Mus musculus: one gene and its partner. The protein of the gene in region 1 interacts with the protein of each later gene in a biochemical or structural test. Links are inferred from orthologs where the notes say so. Each region holds a gene or a part of one and is shown on either strand. Other genes may lie near its edges.

What was found.
Region 2: the proteins of Sema4d (region 1) and Cd72 form a complex in vitro, tested with the Homo sapiens proteins (2 studies listed by BioGRID and IntAct). The link is inferred for Mus musculus from reciprocal best matches to the Homo sapiens genes SEMA4D and CD72.

What each region holds. Positions count from the first base shown.
Region 1 is NC_000079.6:51,790,777-51,795,103, forward strand, and holds the start of Sema4d (semaphorin-4D isoform 1 precursor), read right to left. Parts: upstream 2,903-4,327; 5' UTR 2,721-2,902; intron 1-2,720. UniProt on the Homo sapiens protein: Cell surface receptor for PLXNB1 and PLXNB2 that plays an important role in cell-cell signaling. Regulates GABAergic synapse development. Promotes the development of inhibitory synapses in a PLXNB1-dependent manner.
Region 2 is NC_000070.6:43,447,159-43,449,511, forward strand, and holds the end of Cd72 (B-cell differentiation antigen CD72), read right to left. Parts: coding exon 2,294-2,353; intron 1,258-2,293; coding exon 1,107-1,257; 3' UTR 1,102-1,106; intron 918-1,101; exon of another isoform or gene 879-917; 3' UTR 566-878; downstream 1-565. Other genes in the region: Tesk1 (dual specificity testis-specific protein kinase 1), read left to right, coding at 1-339. UniProt on the Homo sapiens protein: Co-receptor of B cell receptor (BCR) that plays both positive and negative roles on B-cell functions. Recognizes the Sm/ribonucleoprotein (RNP) self-antigen ligand, and coligation of CD72 and BCR inhibits BCR signaling.

The DNA of each region.
Region 1 (4,327 bases):
AAGATTGCCACCTCTTTCTGCATGTCCTCCAGACAAGAGAATTGCACCGTGGTCCAGCAAACCTCTCCCCGACACGTGCATAAGACCTTGCCTGACCAGCCTAGCTCTGGGCCACACCCCAAGTCACCCAGGGACAGCCACGTCTTCAACTGAGATTGCAGAGATGGGTTGCTCATACTGCAGCTGCCAAGAGTGGGATGGCTCTTAGCCAAGAGAACCAAAAGGACCCTCCCCCTCAGCCTGGGTAAACCCCATGGGTACCTCTCACCAGTACCTTTCACCATCTAGTGGACCTTCTGGGACCGGCACCATTGGAGAGATGTAAACTGGGTAGTGGTGGCCCACACCTGTAATCCCAGCACTCAGGAGGCTGATACAGGAGGTCAGAGAGCAACCTGGGCTCCATCTGAAGGAGGGAGGGAGGGAAGAAGGGAGGAAGAAAGGGAGGGGATCTGCCCCCTGTTGGCTAATTCTAGCAGCAGGGTTTTTTTCCCCCCAAGACCACCTTGGCATGACCACCAAGCTCATGCTATGGCTCTCTGGGTGCCTAGGGAACAGAGAGCCTGAGGGAGATCTTTTCCAAACTCGAGGGAACAGTTTGCTTTAAACAACAACAATGAGGAAATTCCAAATCCTCTTCTGGTATAGTGAAGATGTTCTGGAGGGCTCAAACCCAGGGTCCCTGGCTCTAAGCTCACCCTAAACATAATCGAATCAAAGGAAACTGTCCCCCTCCTCAGCCTTCCTAGCCCTCCCAGGGCAGGCTCCCTCTAGAAACACCTCAAATGGCTAAAGAAAACCATTGATCTTTGAGATGCATTATTGATCATGCTGTCCATTAGCACCCATTCCCATAGCCCTGGCCCACCACACACCATGCCTGGGGTGGGAAAGGCCTCCTTGGACACTGTCCATAAAAGACAGCCTAGAGAAGCAACTGTCCACAAGTGGATGATGTCACCAGACACACTGCCCTGGCCCCAGACCCCCTGGATTCCTGAGGCAGCACGGTCCACACCAGGCACCTCATCCCTCAGTCCAGGGCAGGCAGCCACCTGCCAAGACTCCAACCACTGGGGAGGAGTCTCTGTAAGGCACACAATGACAGCCAGAAGTCATTGGAGTCTATAGACAGAGGGACTTCGCAGCTCCATTTCAAAGGACAGACTTAAACAAGCCCATCACAGGAAGGCAGCCTCTGACTCTTGCCCTGGCTCCAGGTCGCACATCCATCGTGCAAGAACGGCAATGCCACAACTGGTATAGGCAACGTGTGTCTGTTTCTTTGGTTTACTTGCTGTGTGGACCAGCCAGACCTAACTGAGTCTTATGGTCAGGAAAGACAAGCTTTGCCCACACCAACATCCCTGCTCACTATTCTATCCATTCCGCTTCTCAACAGATGATCGCTCTGACGTGATGCACACAGACAGCAACGGTCAAAATGACAATCAGGCCATTATAGTCGCTACCGGGATCTACCCCCACCTCTGCCCAAGACTGCCTGCTTCTGGGACACTGTAAACATTCCCAAATAACCCTGCCTGCCTGGGCAGACAAGAGACAAGTCAGACGCCAGGGGCACATATGAAGTGACAGACCGCTGGTGTCACTTCACCCTCCTGGGAAGGAAACTTCCGTTTGGTAGCGCCTGGTAGACCCACAGCTGGGTCAGATGGCTGGCTACAGGCCCCCAGTCCAGTGAGAGGTTGGGCCACCCACGGGCCTGGGCTGTGCTCCACACAGTGAGGGTTTTCAAAACAAAAGCAGGACAAGTTCATGTGGCAAATGACCCAGTATGTAGGGGCAGGCCTTCACCACATGCTTCATTGAAAGCCAAAACTCCACATTCACCCACAGAGAGACTAAACAGAAAACATATAGAGGGCAGCTACGTGCTCAGCGCTGTTTTGTTTTTTGGCTGATTTTTTTCCCCAAGCCATAACTGGCTGAGCCCCAACAGAACCAGCCCCCTGCAAATCATCGGGCGCCAGCAACAGGTGCAGCTCGAGCTAAAGCTGGTGGTGGTTCCGGGCGGTTCTAGAATAACGCAGCCCGAATCTTCCAGGAAGCCACCGCCTTGCAGTGCCCACTGCCCGGCGGTGGCAACCTCACCGCGGCCGCACCTGTCTGAGTGCACCGCGCCACATCCGGTGCACCCGAGCCAAGGCCTGGGAGACCGAAATAGAAGCTGGTTAGGCCGGGGCTGGGAGCCCGGCTACGGGCACCGGGCCTGACCTGGGAGGCACCGATCAAGGAGTCAGCACCCGGGGGTCCCAGCGTGCAGGGCCTGGCTGGTCAAGTCGCATCCGCTGCCTGTCCCGTGTCCCTGCTCCAGCCACCTGCCTGCCAGGGCCTGGCGGGAGCTAGGGAAGGGACGCCGGAGAGAGATCCGGGCTGGGGTGGAACTGCAGAGAGGGTCTGGAAAACGCGGTGGAAATGTAGAGGGGGGTGAGGAATCCGGATGGGACTCAGAGGGGACCCAAAGGATCCTGATGCGAACGCAGAGGGAGTCCGGGGGCATCCAGGTGGGAATGCAGACTAGGTCCTAGCGGTGTGGGAGAACCTGGGGAAGAAGCTCGGAGAGGGATCCTGGGAGCCCCGAGGGGGTCGCAGGAGAGGCTCCAACAGGGTTCCTAGGTTTACCGCGGGGGCTCGCCGCGCTCCGCGCACCTGCCCAACCCCGCGCGCGCTCCTCCCGCGCCGGCCCAGTCGCTTACCTGGAGCGCGCGTCCGACCCGCGGAGGCTCTCGGCGGGGGCTGGCCAGGCCAGCTCCGCGCCAAGAATGGCGGCGGCGTTGGTGGCAGCGACGACAGAGGCGAACGGCGCCAGGAGCTTGAGTCGGGGAGGCCGGGAGACGCGCGGAGATGCTGCGGCGCGAGAGGGAGCGGAGGCCGGCGTGGGGAAGGAGGGCGCGGGGCTAGCGTGCAGGCCCCACCCCCTCTCCCTCCCTTCCCGCCTCCTCCCCTCCCCCTCCCGTCTCTTCCCTCCCTTCGCCCCTCCCCCTTCCTCCTAGTCCCTCCTCTCACCCCAACCTCTCTCCCTTCTTCCTTGCCCTCCCGCGCCCCGCCCCTGTCTTCACCTACCCCAGTCTTTTTCTCCTGCTCCCCTCTTGTTTCCTTTCTCCCTCCCTTCCTTTCCTTCCCCATTTACCTTCCACCACCTCTTCCTCTTTTCATCCAACTCCCTCGTCCTCTTCCCCCGTGTCCCCCCCCCCCCGTCCCCCATCCCCCAAAGCCCCATGGTCCAGACCCCAGGGGCTCTTTCCTACCCAAGTCTGGTCTCTTGAAAACAGAGGAGATTACCAGCAAAAGGAGCCTTTTGATCCTTTCAGCCTCCTAATGATCCAGCCTGCTCGTCCAGGTCCCCAAAGTCTCCTGTGCCCCATGCTCTGGGGTCACCAGCGTTGACCCCAGAGATGCTGGGCTCTTACCTTTATGATCTAGGATAGACCCTTTGGGGTTCTCAATGCAAGGTGTGGGTGGTTCTTCCCATGGACCAAGGCTTCCTGTATGCAGCTCCCGATGAGATACATTTCTAACTAATTCTGGGCCTTCCGAAGTTGGTTGGTACAAAGGGTAGACATAGCCAGGTCCTTAACATGCTTTCTGAGGTTGGTGCTCCAGAACCTATGATTAAAAAAAAACCCAGACAGTGGTGCTTTGTTGTAATCCCAGTGTTGAGGCAGAGACTATTGGTGGAACCCTGGATGGAGTTCACTGGCCAGCCAGCCTGCCTTACTTAATCCGAAGTCAGACTCAGATTTCAGTAAGGGACCCTGTCTCCTAAAACTAAGTGGACAACACCTGGGTTGACCTCATGGCATATTGCATGGGTACACACACACAGACACACACACACACTGCAGCCACAGGGCATGTCCTTTTCTGCCCTTGAAGGGAGAAGTGACCCTCAGTTCACACAGTAACTGGCCAGGTGGGAAGTGCTGCCCAGAGACACAGTCCCTCCCTAAAAGGAAACCCAGTTCCTTAATGAACCTGCCGGAAGAACCAAGAAATAGATCAAGACCAGTCTCTAGGCAGACTGGTGGCTTCCTGAATTCCAGAAGGCCCTTAGGGGCTTCCAGCAGGGATGAGGCTGTTGGGAAGGCAGGCAGCTGACAGCAGTTAAACTGAGCAAGCCCTTCCTAAAGGATAGAAGGTCCTAGAAAGAACCAGGAAGCTTCTTCAGGTTAGGTGTGCCAGTCAGTGCTGGCTCAGAGAGCACAATAGGCCTACTAGAGGTCAAAACAGTAGAACCAACCAGAGGAGGGTCGGTTGTCTTTGCTCTAGGGCTGTGTTTCTCAACCTGTGGGTCAAGAACCCT
Region 2 (2,353 bases), on another chromosome or scaffold:
AACAATAATCCCCCTGCTGTGGTGGTGAATTCCCCACAAGGGTGGGCTAGGGAGCCCTGGAACCGGGCACAGCATAGCCTTCCCCGGGCAGCAGCCCTGGAGCGGACAGAGCCCTCACCGCCCCCATCAGCTCCCCGGGAGCCGGAGGAGGGGCTGCCCTGCCCTGGCTGCTGCCTTGGCCCGTTCAGCTTTGGCTTTCTATCCATGTGCCCCCGCCCTACCCCAGCTGTTGCCCGCTACCGCAACTTGAACTGTGAGGCGGGCAGTCTTCTCTGCCACCGAGGGCATCATGCCAAGCCACCCACACCCAGCCTGCAGCTGCCTGGGGCACGCTCTTAGCAGTGAGGCCTGTGAGCTCAGGCTTCCAACCTTGGCCTTCGGGATACCCTGTAAGGACAGTGCACTTGCTGGACAATGCCAGCCCCAGATGGGCTGACTAGCTCTTCTCCCCGTATAGGGGAGCCTCAGCATGGTCTCAATGGACAGAGCACCTCCTAGCCGACCCCTGGGTTCACTGTCCCATTGGGATCACCGAACTAGACACAGCATTGCTGACACACAGGACTAACACGTGCAAAGTATTTAAAAATATTTCAATAAAACTGCCTGGCTGGCTCCGGGCCATCCATCCACTCAGCGGAGCGCCCTCCCCTGACCCATCTCTAGTTTGGGAAGTTCTTAAGGAAGGTCAAGTCTTTTCTGGAGGCTTCTTTACTCTTCCCAAGAGAAGTCCAGTTTCTGGAGCAGCTTTCAAGCAAGCAGCAGGTCATCCCTTAGCTGGGCATGCCCGAGAGTGAGGGAGTGCTGGAGGAATAGCAGTCTTAAAAATTGGCAGGCCGTAGGTTAAGGATGTAGGTCACAAGGTCTTGTTCAAGTGTCTGGAAAATAAAGCATCAGTGAGCTTCAGTTGACTGTCATTAGCTCTCCTCATCCTATGTTCCCCAGCTCCTCTTCTGTTCCAGGCCACATCTGTCCCCATGCCCTGCCCTGCCCTATGTAAGCAGACTGAGACGCTGAAGGTGATGGATGTGACAGATGAGGGGACAAATTTTCCCTCTTGTCCTCTGTCCACACACCCATGCCTAATCTCCTCTTGCTTACCCGTTTCAGTTCAGATTGATCCCATCAGGAAACCTGAAAGCCTCCGACTCACAAATGCAGGGGTGAAGCTCTGCACACTTGGAAATTGTTCTTTCCCACTTCTGGTAATATGTTTTTATCCTGACACAATGTCGGCTTTGAGAGTCAGAGTCCTGCCTGGTGAACAGAGTTGGGATACACTTTAGACCCCTGCAAGCCCCTCCCTTCCCTTGCTCTTTGCAAAACCTAGTCTAAATTCTAGCTCCTGCTAGGCCCACATGGTTCAGGAACAGGTTTCTGAACTAAAGCTCCCAGAGGCCTTAAGACCACAGAGGAAAACTGCACTTAAGGAGCTGGGTGCGATGGTGCACACATTTAATCCCAGGAGTCAGCACTCAGGAGTCATACATAGACCTCATACTCCATGGAACATGAGGCAGTCACCCTGTCTTGGGGTTCCTGGAGCAAAACTGCAGCAGCTCTGCTTTCCTGAGAGAGTTCTAGTGCCCCAGTTGGCGTAGACTGAGCAAGTTTGGGCAGCCTGTCAAGGCTTAGTGAGGTCAATGCCAGCACTCCTCTGGCTGAGAAGCCTTGCTGAAATCTCTTCTCTCCGCCTAATTTGTTTTTATTTTTAGAGATGTGGGAAGGGGTCTTTCTGTGTAGCCCACACTGGCCTTAACTCACAATCCTTCCTCAGCTCCAGAGTGCTAGGATTACAGGAATATGCCATCATAATTTTTTTTTGGGGGGGGAGGGTTCAAGACAGGGTTTCTCTGTGTAGCCCTGGCTGTCCTGGAACTCACTCTGTAGACCAGGCTGGCCTCGAGCTCAGAAAACTGCCTGCCTCTGCCTCCCAAGTGCTGGGATTAAAGGCGTGTGCCACCACTGTAATTTTTTTAAGTAAGCACTAAAGACCTCTAGGCACTGTGGATGTAATATGGGATAAGAATGCAGGTCAGTGAGATGGCAACGGCTAGCAGGTAGGACTACAGCCTGGGTGCAGTCCCTGAGACCCACACGGTAGAGAACTGACTCCCACAAGCTGTCCTCTGCCACATGGCACCCCTCTCCCAACACATTTTGCTTTTAATATCTTAAACAGTTGTTAATCAAGTAGAAGAAACAAGAAACCACAATACTGATTGGTGGAGGAGTTTTGGGAGCAGGGCTTATGGAAGTAATATGCATTTATGAGAGACTGAGTTGACAATACCTCCACTTCTTGCTCATCTGTATCCAATATGACTTCGAACGATCTAGCAACTCCTCTAAG